Linked DNA regions of Pelodiscus sinensis. The protein of the gene in region 1 interacts with the protein of each later gene in a biochemical or structural test. Links are inferred from orthologs where the notes say so. Each region holds a gene or a part of one and is shown in the gene's direction. Other genes may lie near its edges.

What was found.
Region 2: the proteins of PTEN (region 1) and RPL14 form a complex in vitro, tested with the Homo sapiens proteins (2 studies listed by BioGRID). The link is inferred for Pelodiscus sinensis from reciprocal best matches to the Homo sapiens genes PTEN and RPL14.

Annotation. Positions count from the first base shown.
Region 1 is NC_134718.1:38,723,407-38,733,991, forward strand, and holds the start of PTEN (phosphatidylinositol 3,4,5-trisphosphate 3-phosphatase and dual-specificity protein phosphatase PTEN), read left to right. Parts: upstream 1-6,426; 5' UTR 6,427-6,569; coding exon 6,570-6,648; intron 6,649-10,585. UniProt on the Homo sapiens protein: Dual-specificity protein phosphatase, dephosphorylating tyrosine-, serine- and threonine-phosphorylated proteins.
Region 2 is NC_134712.1:182,142,827-182,153,638, forward strand, and holds the start of RPL14 (large ribosomal subunit protein eL14), read left to right. Parts: upstream 1-6,031; 5' UTR 6,032-6,158; coding exon 6,159-6,161; intron 6,162-7,318; coding exon 7,319-7,420; intron 7,421-10,281; coding exon 10,282-10,376; intron 10,377-10,812.

The DNA of each region.
Region 1 (10,585 bases):
ATTAATATGGAAGAGTGCAGCCCTTTACCACTTTTCAAATTCTTGGAGTAGCCCCCCAATCAAAAATTATTGCCCACCCCATCCTAAATGGTAAGAGCTAGGACCACCAAATTTGGTATGCTTCCTCTTATCACATAAAGTTTGGTTGGTCAGGCCATTAGGGTGTGCATGGAATGTGATTGTTTCTCATCAAACAGAAAGGGAGAGCTGGGATAGCCAGGAAAGTTATACTCCAGAATGACCACAGAAGAACAGCAAGTACAGGGGACAGCTATACCTCAAAATGACTATAGGGGTCAGCAAGCAAGTATGGCCTTGATGTCCCAACTGCTCTACAGAGCCAGGGAACAGCCGCCAGTTGGGAAGTGCAGCCCCCCACTGCCTCGGCCAGCCCAGGGAAGAGGTCCCCATCACTCCAACAGCCTTGGCGAGCCACAGAGCAGCTGCCAGCCAGGCAGCATGGCCCCTGCCACCCTGTCTGGCCCAAGTGGGTAGCCAGCAGCTGGACAAAGTCATTCCCATAGCCATGGGCCAGCTCCAGGGAGCAGTTGCCAGCGAAGTATCATGGCCTCTGTCACCCCAGCTGGGCCCTGGGCAGAAGTCCACAGCCAGACAGCATAGTCATCACTGCCCCAGGCTGGGCCCAGAGAGCAACCAGTGGATGGGGAGAATGGTTGTCTCTATTGCCCTAAACGCCCCCTCCCCTGCCCAGATCCCTGCATCCTATCCCTTCCCCAGAGCCCCCCACACCACCCAACCCCCTGCCCTCACTCCTCCATCCCACACCCTGCCCTCAGCTCTTCACCCCAACCCTGATTCTTGCACCCCCATGCCACCAGTCTCCTGCCCTGAGCCCCCCACATCCCTAAGTCCATCCTGATTCTTGAATCCCCGCAGCTTCAGCCCCCTGTCCTGAAGGACCCAAGCAATACCAGGTAAACCTTCCAGTGTGATAAATAAATATAGTCCTGACAAAGATGCTTTTGAGCCATTCACTACCTGTGAGTTCAAGTTTCCTGATGATGGAAAACACTTCTGGAAGACGGTGATTTCACCTGATGGAATAACAGATTTTGAAGCTCTGATTGATATAAATTATATCCAATTCAAGGAGAATAATTTTCCTCCCTCCTTGAACAAATCAGTTTTCACATTTTCACTTGCCATGGCAAAACTTGGGGTAGGGGGGCACAGGATTTAAACACCTGTAAACAACAAAAGCTTTGTTTATCAAGTGCAAGTGCAGACATAGCTTAACACAGCCCTGTTATCTCCTGATGGATCCACATACTCATAGGTACTGCTCTACGATATTTACAACCAAGAAAAATGCATGATGGGCCATAAAATCTAGCCCCCACCACACATTAAATCTATTGTGTGCTTTTACCCTATGCTATACAGATTTCTGGAATTGTGGATCCTGATCCACAAGGGAGTTGCAAGGGTATCACAAAGTTTTTTAGGGGGTGATCACAGTATTGCCACCTGTTGGCTACGTCTACACTGCTTCTTTCTTGTGCAAAAGCCTATGCAAATGAAGCATGGATTAGCATATTGCCATGCTTCTTTTGCATAATTAATTAGGAGCTGTTTTTGTGCAAGAGGTTTTTGTGCAAAAAGGAGCCATTTACACAGGAAGAACAGCTCTTGCACAAGCAGTGTTTTTTGTGCAAAAAAGCTCTGTGTAGACAGCTCCTTTTTGCACAAAAATCTCTTGTGCAAAACCAGCTCCTAATTATGCAAATGAAGCATGACAATATGCTAATCCGTGCTTCATTTGCATAGGCTTTTGCACAAGAAGGAAGCAGTCTAGACGTAGCCTTTCTTTGCTCCCTTCAGAGCTGGGCAGCCCAAAAGTGGCAACTGTTGGCCCAAGTACCCAGCTCCGAAGGCATTGCCCCACCACCTGAAACACAGAAGTAAGGATGGCAATATCATCTTACTTCTGCACTGTTGCTGTCAGAACTAGGTGGCTGGAAAGTGGCATCTGCTGACTGATGTCCCAGCTCCTCAGGCATCAGTGAAGAAGAGGGGATGGCAATATCATACCATGCCATCCTTATTCCTGTCTTGAGAGCTAGGCTTCCAGCCAGCACCTGCCTCTCTGCAGCAACCCAGCTGTGAAGGCAGCACCGCGTTATCAGCACAAGAGTAGCAGTACAACAGTCCCGTTCCCCCCCCCCCCCCCCCGCCCCGCCATAACTTTGTGGTCCTCACTCACTACTCTTTTTTTGGGTCAGGATCACGACAATTATAACACCATGAAGTTTCAGATTTAAGTAGCCACCTGTTGGCTACGTCTACACTGCTTCCTTCTTGTGCAAAAATGATTTACATTTTTCAAAATCTCATGACCATGAAGTTGACCAGAATGGGCCATGAATTTGGCAGGATCTATATATACGCTTTTCATGACATTAATTTCATGACTAATTTTCATAAAATCACAATTCAGAAGTGATATGGACAGAACCCCCAAGTCTTCTCATATGGCAAGTAATTGCCCATTCATAATCTACACACTGCACTCTGTCTCTGATGCTCTTTAACTACATATATAGTGGGAATGATGCAAAAATGAGAAGTGCAACTGGGTTGGGCATGGAAGAGATGAGGAAGAAATAGTTGGTGAATTGCAGTTGTTGATGTACTACTATTGTGCCCTGCTCTCTGTTCCTCCTGTCAGGATGAACTGACTCCTCTGGGACCTATGAGGCTGCAGGGGGCAGTAGGTGCCCATATACTAGCTCAGAAACTACAGCTGTCCTAGAGGTGATTCTTTAGAAAAATCAAACTAATGAATTGACATGACATGTTATACAAGTATTGCGAAAACATAGAAAAGCACTTTATCAGAAGTAGATATAACACATTGTTTGGTGGTTTATTTTCATATTACATTTCTCAGTAAAAATCAGGTTTTTATACAGATTTCATATTATAGTCACCTTTATTCTCATGCACAAGTTTTTAATTGCTATTGTTTGAAGCCTTTAATCATTTATGATACTTAATATCTCCTTCTTTACTCCTATTTTAGATAATAGAGTAGGAAAATACTTCAACTGCATTCTCTTTTCTGTTATGCTGATTGCATAATCATTCCAATGGGGTTGTGTTTCCATTTCTTGTTAGTTAACATTGTATATGTGGGGCGAGTATGCCTTATCTTTATGTAAATCTACATAGCAAGGTATCTGTTATGGGTATATGGTCCTGCTGCTTGTGGTTATTTTTACTCTTGCTTCCACTACCTATCATGCTGGTACGTCTTGTTTTAATGTTTTTAGCATCACTCTCTTAGGCTACATCTACACTGTGTACCTTAGAGCAGCACAGCTGTGCAATTACAGCCATACCATTGCTTCAGAGGGGTAGCCAAGTTAGTCTGTAATAGGAGAAACTTAAAAAAATAGTATGGTAGCACTTTAAAGACTAACAAAACATATAGATGGTATCATGAGCATAGCCCACTTCTTCAGATGACCACCATACCATTGTAAGGTATGCAACACAGTCCTTTGCTGGCAGGACAGAGCTCTCCTGCTGGCAAAAGAAAACCACCTCAATGAGGGACAGTAGCTTTGGTGGTAGGAGATGCTCTCCTGCTGACAGAGTGCTGGCCATAGTGGAACTTTCTGTAATTAAGATTATTTTTTTTGTCAGTTGGCATGTGTATGTTTCACACCCCTGACTAGCAGAAGTTTTATTGACAAAAGCGCAGTGCAGCCTGAATATCTAGGATCCTAACATAGCCTTAGCTGCAGGCTGGGTGCGAGAAGTGGGTGTGACAGACAGCAACTGAAGCTCTGATTTTTTTTTTGCAGAAAGATTCTGGCTGACTTACAAATGTTTCCTGTGCATAGGTAACAGGTGGTGCCATAACCCATGCCACAGACTGATCACACTCACTCACCCTAACTAGAAGTGACAACTCTGTTTCACAAATTCAGAAACTGTTTTCCTTCTGTATTTCCATAAAAACAGAATTGTATTGGAGGAAGGAGGTAGCATCAGTCTCCCTCTAGCTTGGTGCTTAAAGTACTGGTCTGGACTGTATGGCTATGGCTATATCTAGACTACAAGCCTCTTTCGAAAGACAGCATCTGGAGTACAAGCAGATTTTTCGAAAAAGCGAGCCACTTTTTTGAATTAGAGTCTAGACGCTCTTTTGAAAAAGCAGTTTGCCGTCAATAGTGTCTTTTTTAGAAACAGTACTTTCAAAAAAAGGCATTATTCCTTGTAAAATGAGGTTTACCATGATCAAAAAAACTGCTGTGTTTTTTATTTAGTTTCAAAAGAATGCAGCTGCAGTCTAGAGGCAGGTAAAGGTTTTTTGAAAAAAGGCTACTTATTTCCAAAAAACTCTGTAGTCTAGACACACCCTATGAGACCCTCACCCCCAATTACCTGCTGTGCTTGATTTAGAGCAAGGACCTGAACCTCCCCCACATCCCAGCTATGTAACCTAATCCACCCACCTGTAGATTCTCTGCCCAGGACCCAAAAACTTTTCAAATAAAAATTTAATGCAAACAAACACATTGCTATTAAAATTTTAATCTTAGTCAAAACAGTGTATTTTGCCAAACCATTTCAACCAACATCACTTCAGTTATTCCTAATATTACATGGTTTAATACAAATTATCTGCCAACCGCATCTGATTCTTTCTTCTCTTACACCTGATGCAGCCCCAGGACCACTACATTCAGGGATTGCTTTATTCCATGCAGCCAGCCATCCTTCAAGTTTTCCTATATAAACACTTCTCTTCTCTGGAATAACTTTCCTACCTGGGAGGATGATGCCCTCATATATTTTCAGTCTCTACATGGTGTTCCCAGCAACCAAGTGCTGCAGCATCTGCATCTAAAGCAGAATTCCAGGGACACTGATGACATCATCAGTATTTTTACAGTTTTGAAGAGCCATTCTCTTCTCCATTCCAATTACCTCTTCACCTTGACCTTGTTCCTCATCTTCTCCATCACCCTCCCCCTTCCTCTTTACCTTATCTCCATTCATTAAAAAACCCTAACCACCTTCCTTACAAAATAAAACGAATGGGCATGCCATTCGGTGTTCCTGCAGTGTTCACTGGGGGTCGGCACCATATCCATTCTCCAGCGCTTAGTCCGATCTGTCAGGTTCATTCAGATTCTTGGGCCAGGCCCGGTTTGCTCTACGTGAACAGCATTTACTACAGTGGAGCTCGGCTTCTCAGCTGCTCCCTAACGCTAGGATCATACCGCCAGCCACAGAAGCTGCCTGCAGTGCTAGCTCCGCACTGGACACAGCACCTTGCCTCGTTCCCGGGGGCTAGGAAGAAATGCGGCGGGCAGGTACCCAGATCACGCTGCACCTACCCCACCGCGGGGGCCCACGCGTCCCGGATCTGCCCAAACCCCGCAGATCTACGCGCCCGAGAGAAGCCCATCAGCGGCCAGGCTCCCGCTCCCGATCGAACGCGAGTTGTGCTCCGCCAGGGGGGGTGAAGTGGGAAGCGCCGGCGCAGGCAGAAAAGGGCCCCAACCAGCCCCACGTGACTCCACAGGGAAGTAGCTCCGACGCGGTCGTAACGTGAATTTATCCTTCCGCCACCCTGTGGCCGGGTCGCCGTTGGCACGCCGGGACGGCTCTTCCACTTCCCTCATCACGACCGCCGCGTTTTCCCGGGGTGCAGGAGCGAGCCGAGGAGCGGGCGGTGCCGCGGATGGGAGGAGTGGTGGTAACAGCGGCAGCGGGACGCTGATGTGGCGGGACTATTTCGCCTTAGCGGCGGAGGAGGCGGGGGGCGGAGCCAGGCCCCTCTCCTCTCGGAAGCTGCAGCCATGATGGAAGTTTGAGGCGCTCAGTGTCGCTGGGGCGCGGAGGAGGCCGGGGCCGATGAGAGCGGGCAGCCTGCAGCCCCGCACGCACCGCAGCGCCTGAGCCCGCGCGGTCTCGCTCCTCGGTGTGAGGCGCCTCCGGACGCGCCGCCTTCTCCCGCGAGGCCGGGAGCGCCCGCCCGGCTGCGCGGCCCCATCGCGCGGGCTCCGCCGCCGCCCCGGGCGGGGAGCTGAGCTGAGCGGGACGGGGGGGCCCGAGTCGCTGTCACCATTTCTGGGGCCCGGCGCGCTGGAGAGTTCCCCTCTCCGCCTCCATCGCCTCAAAGACGGCGGCGGCGGCGGCGGCACACTCAGGGACCTGGGCCGACTCTAAACCCTTCCGCCGCCGCCGCCGCGGCTCCGGCGCCGCTCTGGGCAGCTGGGGAAGGAGGGAGCCGCCGCCGCCGCCGGGAGCCGCCGCCGCTGCAGGGGGAGGAGGGTTCGCCGCTTCCCCCATCTTCAGCCGCCGCTTGCGGGCCTGGGGCTGAGCCGCAGAGGCAGGCCCTGTCCACGGTGCCATCCAGCAGCAGCAGCCATTACCCGGCCGCCGTCCAGAGCCCAGCGGCCGCCGCTGCAGCGGGGAGTGGGAAACCAGTCACAGCCGAGCTTAGGGCCATCTGCAGCCCGCCGCTGCAGAAGCCGTCGCAGCTGCCGAGCCTGTCCTCGCTATTCCTGAGTAGCCCCCGGCTCCCAGACATGACCGCCATCATCAAAGAGATCGTCAGCAGGAACAAAAGGAGATATCAGGAGGATGGCTTCGACTTAGATCTAACCTGTATCCTCGCCCGGCCCGCGCTAGCGTTTGGCTCGCCGTTTCTCTGGGTGCCTTGATCATCTCCCCAGCGACCTGTAGTGTTAATGCTGAGCAGGGATGTGTGTCTGTTTCTCCCCCCCCCGCTCTTCTCCAGGGCTGCCATATTCCTGACTGAATTTGCTGTTCTCTCCAGTGCAGCCAGAGCCCAGTTGGGCAGGCTGAGCGCTCGGCCTAGGCCCAGCACCCGGGATAGAGATGAGATTAAAATGGAAATGAATGCTGCACGTACAGCAATTGCATCAGATTCTTACAGTAATTATGTAGTGTGCCTGCTCGTGTTTTTTGTGTATTTGTGTTCGGCATAATTATTTTGAGCACTATCAGATTTAAAAAGTCAGATGTGCGGCTAGGTTTCTGCAGTTACTGTAATTGGAAGTTGGTCAGTTTTTAGCAACCATATTGCTTTGTTTCATGAAACTAAAGCATTATGTTGTAGAAAAAGCAACATCCTAGGTCGGTTGTTGTCTGTCTTCCAGTTGATTGATGTAGATTGGGGTATGAACATTACCTGCTTGATAGTTGTTGTTTTAGATTCTATTATGTAGTTCAGAATAGAGGTTGAATAGTTATTTGGTCAGTAATTATGATGTCATGCAGATTGAGTATTATCTGTAGTAAATGGTGATTGCAAAGATTAACAGTAGTACTCGTTTGAAATCAAAGCATTCTAGTAGGACCTGTATTGACACTTTTGCTTTAGGTGTCATGTACTAGATACAGTGATGTCATTGCTCATGTTCAGCATAATGCCATTTAAAATAGAGCCTCTTACCTTGATGTTTGATTTTTAGCTCAAATATAAAATGTAATCATTCTACTGTACTGCAAATAGTGATGCCTTTTTCAATTAGTAATTCAGCATTTCGAATTGGAAACATAATTTTAGTGGGCATGTGACTTATCTGCTATTTTCTTGTTCTTTGCATAAATAGATACAAAATATGTGTTGTGCAGTGAATGAAGCATACTTTTCCAGTTTTTAACTAAAACATACGTTGTATATAAATGACAAGAATGTAAGAAAATAACTATTAATTTAAAAATTGCGTCTCTTTAAAGAACACCAGTTTCTTCACTCAACCATATTTTACACTGGTAGACTTTGTGTGCATTGACTTACCCATGGATTAGGACATTTCACAAACAAAAATAGTGGATGAGGTTCCTTTTTTTCTGCTGTCCGATATGTTTTGGGAACTCTTGAGAAATGTAGTGTTCGGGGACATGTAATCTAGCTGCATTAGGATTAGCAAGTCAAACCATGGAGCATTAAAAGGAACTGCATAGCCTTTGAACAGATGTACTATAGCAGCAACAGCAGACAGATGTCTGGCTTTGAATATGTGCTGCAAAGTTAATGGTATATAAGATTGTATTGTAACAGATTAAACTATCAGAATTAAGTTCTGTTACTTGTCACAGATACTATTAACTAAACGTAGAATTTGTTATTTATGAAGTAGTTTTAGTGCTTAAGTAATGAATATGGTATTCATTTTCAGAAGGAGGTTCTGATTTAGAATGGTTTTACAGTAGGGTTAAGATCAGCTTATTGCTCTTCTGACTGTGAGCAGAATTGCATCACAGGTACTGGATTTCTGTATGGAGAGAGAAAAGTGCCTGTAGTACAGAATATCTACTGTTACATTGATTTGGGACTCAAACTAAATATTTGAAGACTTAAATGTGTGATCCCATGAAGTGACCATTTAGCTTTTTTTTAATTACCTGCTGCTTAGTAAAATATTTCGGTTTTAGTAAATATTTTTTCTTTCATTGGGAACATATTGATCAATTAATGGGTTGCTATTTCAGAATTTCATTTTAGTTCTTTAAACTTTTTTGTTTTTCTGTGATGTGTATAGTAATACATACCTGCATTTTCAAGTTAGTATTATAAAACCTGCAAGATTGATATCTGCTCTGAAATATAGCTTACAGACTTTAGTTTATTTGCTACACTAAATGATGTACTTACTGATTTCTTCTATAATGCTGGTAAACACGGAAAACCAATAGCAAGAAACCTAATTTCATACTTCCCAGTTCTAGGGTTTGTTTGTAAAATACTTTGTCATAATGGCATACTGTAACAAAGCAGAATTTCATTTTAGCAGAATTTCATTTTAACTATTCATCTGCACATATATCTATCTATTTTTTACTTGCCAAGAAGAATCTTGTAATTTAGTTAGTGATTTTACTCATCAAGCTCAGAGTTTTGAAGAATACATTAGGTATAGTTACAAAATGTATTTTCTTTTCTGACTTAATAAATAGTTCTATGAACTCTTTCCTTTTTAGATTTACCTTGGAGGACATAACAAATTAAACTAGAAATTGGCTATTTAAGCTCATAGAAAGATTGGTTTTAGCAATAGTTCAGATTAAATGAAATAATATCAAAGTAATATGAAATATTTTCCCATAAGATTCTATATTTTCTGTAGACTATTTTGAACAATGGAAGAAGGCTCTATGTAGTAAATAAGCCCTAATTGAAAGTATTGGTGAGCATTTGGGTTTTATAACTTTTTGTGAATCCTGCACAGGGAGACCTTTGACAAAGTTGTTAATGGGTAGTTAGTTTTGTCTAATGCCTCAAAAGTTATACTGTTTTCTCCTTTACATGAATTAGGAATTAAGTTAAATCTGCAGACTAACCTTGGTTAATCTTCAGGATGTAAATGGTTAACTGGTAACCCTCACCCTTAATGGGTATGGCTTACTGATTCTGGTTAATAGGTAGGAGCTGGTGCAGCTCCCTACCCTGGGTGCCCCGCAGGGCCCACCTCAGGCCAAGGGTATTCTGGCTTGCCAGAGCAGCTGTTGTCTGTGGCAGGCCTGCCCTCCAGCTGCAGGTTACACACGGGCTCCCTGACAACAGGGCCAGCAGCCTCCTGCGGAGCTGGTTGTGGAACTGACAGCGAAACTTCCCTCTGTGGGGTCTGCTGTATAAAATTGATATATAAGCTTTAATATTGCAGAGCCCACAGCACATTTAACTGCTAGGATTTTTAGCGGTTACATGGTTACATATTTAAACGACTTTTTACATCCCTAGATGTGCTGAATTTGTGGTTAAAGACTGTTCGTAACTTTGAGAGAGACTAGATTTTAAATGTAGCACAGAATGAGGTGTATGATTATGCAATTTAAGTATCAGCATTGATACTTTCATTGATACTTTTCATTGACTTTCATTGTGTTTTTAATATAAAAAGGATGTCACGTTAGTTTTAAAAGAACTAAAGTTACATATTTTTCAAACAAACTTCTTTTTAACAAGGGTATTTAGATGGTCTTTTGGAGTTGGGGTGGAATTGTGTATGTATGGGTAATGGTCACATCTGAAGATTAATGCCACTGATGTTTTTACATTACATGATCAGAACATCATAAACTATCACTTAACAACTGTCATATGATAAAATCAGTTTTTCTGCATGAATAATTTAAAATGACTGCACCATTTTTTAAACATTACACAGATTGAACTGCTAAATGTCTTATGTCGCATGTAATTCACCATTTGTAACAGATTTTTGGTATATCCTTGGAATGGCTGTAGGAAGGAATGCCTTCAGAACTGTATCCGGTCATTTAAAAAAACGTCATATTTTCGTCTGCCTTTGGTTTCTTCTACAATATTTATTTCTACTTGTCTGAATAGTGTTAAAATACTTCATGAAAATAATGGGGCAGGTGGAAAGGGGCAAATGTAACTTTTTATGTATTACTGGTGTCCCTGTAAGAAACAGTAATGCCTTAACTGTATTTTTGAATAATTTTTCAGTGCTTGAATACCTAGTCTATTTTAAACTATGTATGTACTTTCAACCACTGCAAACAAAAAAAAAAAAAAAATGAAGTGGTAACAAGTACATTCAACCATCTC
Region 2 (10,812 bases), on another chromosome or scaffold:
TAAATGTATCCTGAAAGAAAGGAAAAAGATCAGAAACCAAAGTGGAGAACAGAAATCAAGGAAATGGTATTATAATGCATTGGCTCTCTCATGAGAGGTCTCAGCACTCAGTGCTATAGACTTATGGCGTTTATAGTGAACTCTGTAAACTCTGTTTTGTTATTAAGTAGTTGTGGAAGAAGAATAAGTACTATGCACAATACGTTATTTTTGCATAATAGTCTCCTAGAGACATAATTGGTCAGTAGTTTCAAGATACAAGCAAAAGGACAAAACCATAGGACAGAGGAAAATAGTGGTAATACTCATCTGTCATATTGAAGCTAAATGAAAAACTCATTCCTGAAACTGGTAAGGACATTAGTTACATCCCATACATTGAGTACTCAGTGTTCTCACTAATTTATTCCATCCATGTGTGGAATAAATGCGCACCACTGGTAGAAACAAAAAGTCTAGTTGGGTGGCATTTGAATCTGTCCTGAGCGACTCCACAAGTGCCCAGCTTACAGGGAACTGCAAGGTGTGCTCAGGAAAAAAACTTTGTTCATTACCATGTAGACCGTGACAGAAGATTTAGGCCACCAAGTAAAAGTGGATCACTCAATTATTAAGCAGCTTTTCGCATTTATTTAAGAAACCCAAACCCATGATTGATATACTAAATGTCAAAATGTATAGCTATATTTATATGCAGAGACATTATCAGCAACTCTAGTAAAGGTTGCATCAAGATTTAGTCTGAAAGTAAGCCTGAAATCCACCTGTTTTGTACTTTAATATTAAATGGAGTCTCCACATGTACAATAACAGTGCTTCGGTGGGCAATTGAATTTAGTCTTTTTTAATAAACATTTACAAAAGAAACATATCAAAGGGTTCCCTTAACAAAATGTTGACCTGTTGTCCACACATTTCTTTGGGTTCTAGACAACCACACCTTTGTCCAGATTTCATATTCAAATAATATCTCAGCTATAGGACTCTTCTGAAATACTGACACACCAAGAAGTTTTCCCTTATCCTGTTGCCCCTGCATATGAGGTTAAACTCTATGGAAGAGAAGGGGCATGGGTAGAGATGTTGGGGACTAGCAGGTTGACCAAGTCTTGGGGAAATGGGGCAAGGGAGTTGCAGGGGTGCACAGGCCTGGAAGAGAAGAGGCTTGTGAATACAGGAACCAGGAATGTGTGACTGGTGGGGAAGGGGGGCAACTGGAATAGAGCTCACTGTCTGAGGGTATGTCTACACTACCCCGCTAGTTCGAACTAGCGGGGTAATGTAGGCATACCGCACTTGCAAATGAAGCCCGGGATTTGAATTTCCCGGGCTTCATTTGCATAAGCGGGGCGCCGCCATTTTTAAATCCCCGCTCGTTCGAACCCTGTGCCGCGCGGCTACATGTGGCACGAGCTAGGTAGTTCAGACTAGGCTTCCTAGTTCAAACTACCGTTACTCCTCATTCCACAAGGAGTAACGGTAGTTCGGACTAGGAAGCCTAGTTCGAACTACCCAGTTCGTGCCCCATGTAGCCGTGCAGCACGAGGTTCGAACGAGCGGGGATTTAAAAATGGTGGCGCCCCGCTTATGCAAATGAAGCCCGGGAAATTCAAATCTCGGGCTTCATTTGCAAGTGCAGTATGCCTACATTACCCCGTTAGTTCGAACTAGCGGGGTAGTGTAGACATACCCTGAGGCAGTAGTGCTAGTGTCTCAACACAGAGGCTATGTCTACATTGGCGCGATCTTGGGCCAGAGCTATGCAAATGAGGCTAAGCGTGGAATATCGCCGAGCCTCATTTGCATATGTAATGAGCCGCTATTTTGCAGAAGAGGCTCTTGCGCAAGAAGGAGCTGTCTACACTGCCCCTTCTTGCGCAAGAAAAACCCTCTTGCGCAATGCCTTTCTTCCTGAAAATAATCAGCGTAATTAACTCCCTTTCTGTTTCTGTTCCCTGTGCTCACCATATACTACCACCACGTGGAGTCATGGAGGAAGGGGGAAAGAGAGAGGCAAGGGTGGTGAGCAGCCAGAGCATGCAATTGAAATCATGTTTGTACTGAGTGGGAGCTGTAGAAGAGAAAGGTGCAACTCCTCCCATGCATACATGAATCACGGTAGTCCCGTGCCTTCCTGGGTCTTGCTCCCCAAAGGATACCACATCCTCCCTGCAGTTTGCTGCCCATATTCCCAGCTGTGATGAGTACTTCAGGGAGTGCTACAGGAGGCGCTCTGTGGGTAACTTTCTTATTCTTTGCTCATATTTTCAATTTTCTCCAATTCTAAGTTTGTATTTACACACTTCAAATTAAATCCTATTAATATCTGTCTGATCAGTTAAAAATGATCTTCCCATCTTTTCATTGAAAGAAAAGGGTCAGAATAGTTTCCTAATTTAAAAAAGACAAACTAAGAACACATTTTCTCTAGTTCCTTGACCAATGCCTATTTCTTGGTCATGGTAGCTAATGTTAGCAGAACACAAAGGCTACGTCTACACTGGCCCCTTTTCCGGAAGGGGCATGTAAATTTCATGAGTCGTCGTAGGGAAATCCGCGGGGGATTTAAATATCCCCCGCGGCATTTAAATAAAAATGTCCGCCGCTTTTTTCCGGCTTTTAAAAAAGCCGGAAAAGAGCGTCTAGACTGGCCCCGATCCTCCGGAAAAAGCGACCTTTTCCGGAGGCTCTTATTCCTACTTTGAAGTAGGAATAAGAGCCTCCGGAAAAGAGCGCTTTTTCCGGAGGATCGGGGCCAGTCTAGATGCTCTTTTCCGGCTTTTTTAAAAGCCGGAAAAAAGCGGCGGCCATGTTTATTTAAATGCCGCGGGGGATATTTAAATCCCCCGCAGATTTCCCTACGACGACTCATGAAATTTACATGCCCCTTCCGGAAAAGGGGCCAGTGTAGACGTAGCCAAACAGCAAGAGGTTTGAAATTATTCTTCCAAAGAGAAGGAAACGGGCAAGATGAAGAACTTATCTTGTGCAGTAGTCAGAATTGTTGGGGCTCAGTACCCCCAAAAGATTGATTCCTCAGTGCCCACTGCCCAGGTCTTCAGGATATATCTCTCCAGTGGTTAAAAACTCACCAAGCCCAGTGAGTTTCAAAGGCACAAATGGTTGTTAAGCACCTAACTCCTATTGACTTTCTGTGCAATTGAGGGGCTTGCCGTTAGTGTCTGAAAATCATCTCCCACATCACAACATTCAGCATTAGAGACCCACTTTGAATTCATGTATTCTAAAGGGATTCAGAGGAGTGGTTTGGATACAACTTTCATTTTTAAGAAGGATAGAGTGGTTATATTTTCAATCAGATCCCAAGCCCCTTAAGGTTCAGGCATGTTTACAGTTAGGCTACGTCTAGACTGGCATGATTTTCCGGAAATGCTTTTAACAGAAAAGTTTTCCGTTAAAAGCATTTTCGGAACAGAGCGTCTAGATTGGCACGGACGCTTTTCCGCAAAAGCACTTTTTGCGGAAAAGCATCCGTGCCAATGTAGACACGCTTTTCCGCAAAAAAGCCCTGATCGCCATTTTCACGATCAGGGCTTTTTTGCGGAAAACAAATCTGAGCTGTCTACACTGGCCCTTTTGCGCAAAAGGACTTTTGCCTGAACGGGAGCAGCATACTATTTCCGCAAGAACACTGACAATCTTACATGAGATCGTCAGTGCTTTTGCGGAAATTCAAGAGGCCAGTGTAGACAGCTGGCAAGTTTTTCCGGAAAAGCGGCTGATTTTCCGGAAAAACTGGCCAGTCTAGACACAGCCAGTGATTCTGGTAGGGCCCTAATTATGACCTATTCAGAGGAAGTTGTGAGAAACAGTCTGCCAGAAACTTTTGGCCATATTGGACCTCAGAGTCATTGGGGAATCCCCATGTACAGCTTTTCTCTAACTGGGGCTTCCAACCAAAAAAAGAAGTTTCAAGGCTACTGTTGGGGGGTTGTTAGTATGGTCACTAGCTGTCTAGGTTTTCCCAGACATAACCTCTTTTTTGGTCCTGAAATTTTCCTCAGAGCAGATTTTGGAAACATTAAAAAAGTCTGATTTTTCCTGGCCTTTCAAACTGTGTGGCTGGAAAGCAGTGGCCACTGTCTGGGCACCTAGTTTTCCTTCTGTGTTGCTGCTTGTGGCACCATTGCCATGCAGAGTGGCATGGTATAGTATTGCCACTCTTCTTTCTCTGCTGCTGGTGGCACTATCTTTGGATCTGTGCAGCAGCAGAGCAAGTGTCCGCTAGCAGGTCAGCAGTAAGTGTCACCACTTGCAAGAGCACAGAAGAAAAGCTGGAATATGGTACTGCCTCTCTTCCCTCTGCACTGCTGCTCATGGTAGGGATGTCTTCTGAGCTGGATGGCAGCAGAGCAATGGCCTCTGATGGAGTGCCCAGTTCAGATGGCATCACTGCTGCTACCCTGCAGCACAAAACCAATGGTAGTGTGCCATTCTTCTTTCTGAGCTGCTGTCACTGCCAGTGACAGTGCTTTCCAGGCTAGGCGACTGGGAACAGCAGCCACTGCAGCCACCCAACTCTGAAGGCAAGGTAGAGTCATGGACATTTTTTCATATTTCCAAAGTCCACCTGCCCAAAGAATAGAGGACTAAAGAGGCCATAGTTGGAAAACCTAAATGTATGGTGATCCTACTAGCGATCCTGTACTCACTTTGTCACCCCCTTTTAAGGTGGGTTCCCCAGTATGAAAAACAGTTCACTAGGGGATTCATCTACAATCCTGAGGTCCAACACAGCCAGTGGTTCTTGGCAGACCATTTCCCACAACATTCATGGAAGTGGTTGTAGATTCTTAGGGAAGTTTTTCGTAGTTCAAATATCTGTCTGGATGGAGACTGGAGGACCAAAAAGGAGGTCATTTCCAGGAAAATCCAGGTATGTTATGCCTGTCAAACATCAGCATTAAACAGAGATATACATTTTTTGTACAAACATATCCAGGGACAAAACAATTGTGTCCACATGCCACTTTTATCAGCCAGAATGTATACAACCTTCTACTAATTCTGTAGTCTCATGTCACATGATGCCTCCTCCTTAATTCCTTGGAATAGCAGAAATTAAATATAGCATCAATGCAAAATTCGTTCAGGGACCATGGCCAACCTCTAGCAGATCAACATCAGGAGCCACATTAAAAAAAATCATGAGACTGGCTTAAAATAATGAGAGTAAAGAGAAATAAACAATCCATTTCGGGTCATTATGTGTCTGCCTTCTGAACCTTGAGGACACACACCGGTGTTTTTAGCCTTTTTTTCTGCAAACTTGGGGACTTCAAACACTTTCTACGTGAAAGCTGAGGGTGTGTCTGCACTCCAGAGCCTATGTTGACATAGCTGTGCCCGCAGACTGCCCTAGCTTAGATGTTGCCAAGACCCACAGGAGTTTTTGTTGGCACCTCCACCTCCCAAACCAAATGAAACGTGCACACTGACTGGCTTAGAAAAGCGGGTGTGGTTTTGGGCAGACTCTCTTTTTCTTCTGGACCTGGCTGGGATTTGTTTTTCTCGTTTGCGCACCGGACAAGAGTTCACACAGACGCTGGTTTAGCGGAGGGCAATAAGCCCTGTTCGCCTCTGGCCCTGAGAAGGGGGAAGGCCCCCCAGAAGCAGACGGCATGAGGAAGGCGCACTGTCCCCGTGCAAGGAACGACGGGCGCAGGGCGGGCACGGTGCGCTACCCCAGCGCATCCCCTCTGCGAGCCCCGCGCGCCGGCTGCTCCCCTTGCGACATACACCTGCCACGCGAGCGCAACAGGGCGCACGCATGCGCACTACAGTAGGGGGCGGGAGCGAGACTCTCCCAACCGCAAAAGAAAGCAGTTGACTGCGCATGCGTCTCGGGAACCCACACGCCCCCTTCCATGCCCTGCAGGCTTGTCACGCATGCGTTAAACATCTCGCCCCTCCCACCACGAACGTTTGGCGCGCATGCGTATTGGAGGAGGAGCGGAAACGCTCGCCTTCGACACCCACCAGGAGGGCCTAGCGCGCACGCGCATTTAGTAAAGCAGCGCTCCCTCCCCGCCTCCTTTTTGTCTCCCCACAGCGGGGCGCATGCGTACTAGAGGATCGGAAGCGGCGTCTGAGCGCAGCGGAAGCCGCTCGCTCTTTTCTGCTCGCGGGCGGCCATCATGGTGAGTGTGTGCGGCTGCGGCCTCCGCTACCTGCCCCGGCATCCCCCCTGCCCGCCCGGCGCGGGGCCCGGGAAGGCGCTGAGCCGCCTCCTCCCAGCGACCGGAGCGGGGCCACGTGCGGCTCCCGTGGCCGGGCTGGCGGGGCCGCTGGGCGGGTGAGGGCGCCGGGCCGCGCACAAGCCCCAAGTGGCTGAAATGGCCCCTTAGCGGTAACGCTTTGGGCAGCGCGCGCCACCTGGGACCGGCACCGAGCGTGTGGCCAGCCCCCTCCCCCGCCCGGCCATAAGCTGCGCCCATATTGTTAACCCCCCCCCCCCGCTTCTCGCGTGGTACCTCCCAGTCCCCCCCTCCCCCCCCCCCGCTGCTCGCGTGGTACCTCCCAGCCCTCCCTCCCCCCCGCTTCTCGCGTGGTACCTGCCACCTAGGCACCCCCTCCCCCGCCCGGTCATAAGCTCTGCGCCTATATTGTTAAACTCCCCCCCCAACTTCTCACGTGGTACCTCCCAGACCCCCCCCCCAACTTCTCACGTGGTGTCTGCCACCTAGGTGCACCGCCTCCCGCGCCCGATGCCAACCATCCCCGCTGCTCATCCCTGCGGGGAACCTGTATATCACCCCCCTGCTAGGAAGGAAAGGCGGGGTGCAGTTTGCTCTGTGTCCCAGGCAATTGATGCATTTGTAGATACGAGTAGCCCTGTGGCACCTTAGAGACAAACACACACATATACAGTATATAGGGATGTCATCTTGTACTGTAGACCACTACACGATCAACTACATGCATTTCCCTCCTGCTCTCCCTCCCAACCTCTATATCAGTGCATTGGCTGCCAGCTCCACCTCTGGGGATTATCGAATAGTTGTTTAACTGCTAAGATTTCATGTGGTTACATGCCTATTCAGTTATATCTAATATTCCCAATAGCATCATGTGCTTTTGGGGGCAAAACCCACGTCAGATCAGAGAAATGGGTTTTGCCCACTAAAGCTCGTACTATTTATATATTTTTGTTGCTCTGTAAGGTGCCACAGGACTACTTGTTCTTAAAGTTACAGACTAACACAGTTACCTCTCTGAGACTTTTGTAGATAGCAATTCCTGGGTTTAGTCATACTACTTGTAGACGTGCTCTGAATTTAAGTAAATCTTTTTCCAGGTGTTCAAACGTTACGTTGAGATTGGCCGAGTTGCCTATATCTCCTTTGGGCCACATGCTGGCAAGCTGGTGGCAATAGTGGATGTTATTGACCAGAACAGGGTAAGCTCAAAGACCTGTAGCCCTCTTCTCCCCTGTTCTTTCGTTCTCTATTTTAAAGATACTTTTTCATACAATACTGATTTTAAAACAGTTTTCTGTACATCATTTCCCCCCCCCCCCTCCCGGGGCTAACAGTGTTAAGGAAAATGCAATACAAATGTGCATGGCAGACTTCAAAAATTAATCTTTGTACGGAGACTTAAGAGATTCCAAATAAGGTGATTTTTCAAACAGTTATGTTTTCCCTCTCAGGATCAATAATAAGGGTAAGAGGGAAGGTCCTTTTATGAATCAGTGAGACAGGAAACCAAGGGTAGGGAACAAATGGACAGTTTTCAGACTGGAGAGGGGTAAATAGCGGTGTCCCCTCCAAGATCCTGTAGTGGGACCAGTGGTGTTCAACCTATCCATAAATGATTGGGAGAAAGAGGTAAAGAGCGAGGTGCCAAAATTTGCAGATGATGTAAAATTATTAACGATATTTAAATTCAAAGCAGACTGCGGGGAGTTACAAAGAGGTCTCACAAAAAATATGGTGAGTGGGCAACAAAATAGCAGATGAAATTCATTGTTGATAAATACAAAGTAATGCACATTAGAAAACATGCTCCCAATTATACATTAGGGCAGTAAGCAAGTAGTCAACTTGGCTATTCATTTCCCCCCACCCCCCTTGTATCTGAGGCAGTGGGGGGGATGGCCAGGAGCTTATATGCAGGTTCCCCACCCCATCACTGTCTCCACTGTGGGCCCCCCCCCCCCCCGCCGCCTCCGGCTGCTGCTTATCTGAGGCAGCAACGGGTTGGAAGAGAGGCTGCTACAAAGCAGCCCCTATTTGCAGTGGGCCCAGGCTGCTCTGGCAGCAGCCCCTGGTTGCAGCCAAGCCCAGCTGCCCAGCTCTTACTAAATTTTAAATTGCAGATCTGCAGCGGTTCCAGCTCACGCCAGTCTGGAGCCTACACCTGCTGGTGCTCTGCAGTGTAAGTGTAGTAGGAGCTGAGTACCTATGTGCCAGCTCCTACTATATTTAAACTGCAGTTGCAGCTGAGAGACCTCCTGGACCAGTGCGATCCAGGACAGAGTGCCATCCCTTATCGACTAATTGTGTAGTTGATATAAATTGTATGGACTACATGATTAGTTACCCGTCTCTTAACATCCTTACTGTACATATAAAATAATGGGTTCTAATTAGCTGTAAATATCATAAAAGAGATATTGGAGTCATTGTCGATAGCTCTCTGAAAACATCTACTCAGTGTGAAGTCATAGTCAAGTGAATACTGTTAGAAACCATAAGGAAAAAGATAGATAAGACGACAGTAAATATGTCATTATATAAATCCATGATACATCCACACCTTGAATACATTATGCAGTTCTGGTTTTTGCGCATCAAAAATAGATACATTAGAATTGGAAAAGGAAAGAGGAGGTCAACAAAAATGATTAAGGTTATGGAACAATTTCCATCTGAGGAGGTTAAAACTGGGGATATTCAGCTTGGAAAAGAGTTGACTAAAAGGAGTTGTGATGGAAGCTGATAAAATCATGACTGCAATGGAGAATGGGAATAGGAAAATGTTATTTACCCCTTCACATCACATGAGAACCAGGGATCTCCTAATGCAGTGTTTCCTGATTTTATTTGGCCACGGAACCCTTTTCAGCTTAAAATAATTTCAAGGAACCCCTAGGGTTCCCAGAGTAAAATTTGGCAAAAAAAAAAAAAAAAAAAAAAAGCCCCGCCAGAATTGGTTGAGCAAAAAAACTCTGCAAAATACTCTGTCTCTTTAAGAGGGGGCGGAGGAATGCCGCATTCTCACGGAACCCTTACTTTTACTTTGCGGAACCCTGGGGTTCCACGGAGCACCAATTGGGAAACACTGTCCTAATGAAATTAATAGACAGCAGGTTTAAAACAAAACAAAGTACTTAGCACCTGCTTCAGTCAGCCTGTGGGACTCATTCCCACAGGTTAATACAGGTCAAAAGTATAGAGATTCTGCATGCAAGGCACTACATTTAGCCGTCAAAAGTATAATTAGGTTATAAAAAGAACTCTAGACAATTCCTTTTAACCAAGATATTCAGGGATGCAACTTCATGTTCTGGGTATCCCTAGCTTCTGACTGTCAGAAACTGGATTTATTATTTGATAAATTGCCCTGTTCTTGTGTCTCCTTCTGAAGCAACTGCCATTGTTAGCAGACAGGATACTGAGCTAGATGGACTATTGGTCTGGCCTAGTATGGGTATTCTTATGTTAATATCTTGCTAAAAGGAGTTGAATACTGTAACTTGTAGTTACAAGTTACAAGAATCCAATACTTGTAACTTGTAAACTGGGAAAGAGGAACACTATCTCCAAACTCACCACAATTTCTGCACTTTTAAAAGTTTAACTTTTTGCTTCTTCAGTCTTCTTGCTCACATGATTGAGCCTGTAGTTCGATATATGTGAACTGTTCCTATTACTACTTGCATTAGGGAGGGGAAAGATGCACAGATGTTTTCTGCTCCTTTAGTTACAGCTGTGATAGAACATGTGTGAATGAGGGAAAAGCAATGCATTGAGATCATGAAAGTTTCCCAGTCTCAGCTCCTCTCTTTTGTCTCCCTTGGCCTTTGGCGTTGTGGAAACTGCGTATTAAATAAACACTAGTTGATCCTGCCATGGAATTTGGGTAGTGTACTCCACTCTTTTTCTGCTTTCCAGTGTTCTATATGCATAGTGCTCTCCCAAGTTTGTAACACTTTCTTCATGTTGATGGGCCATAATTTGTTTAGAAGTAACTTTCTCTAGTCTATCATGGTATATTGGAAAAATGTTAGTGAATTCACTTAAACTTTTGTTCCAGGCACTAGTTGATGGTCCTTGCAGTGGTGTAAGAAGGCAGGCTATGCCCTTCAAATGCATGCAGCTGACTGATTTTGTACTTAAATTTCCACACAGGTAAGTTGTCTTTCCCTCTGGGCTGTGCAAAGGGTACTGACTGTTTAAATCTGACTTAATATAAACTAGCTTTACATTGTTTGTGATCTAATGGAATTTTGTGTCTAAAACTTTGAAAAGATCGTATGGATATGTTTTTTTTTAGAACCTTTGGATAATTTAAATCCAAGATTAATCAACTCTAATGTACTAGTAATTTAATGATGTGTATGCCGTTAAGACCTGGCAAACCATATGATCATGATTAAAAGTACTGGTTTCTTTCCTATGAGTATTTTGATACATAGCAGATTTGACTGAGGCAGCTGCTGTCCCATATTACTTAGAAGGAACAGTGATAAATGAATCACAGTAATGCATAACTTCATGAGTTGGCTCCTACCCAGTAGTCTATGGCTGCATATTCAAAGTGAACTACAGGCAGTCCCCGGGTTAC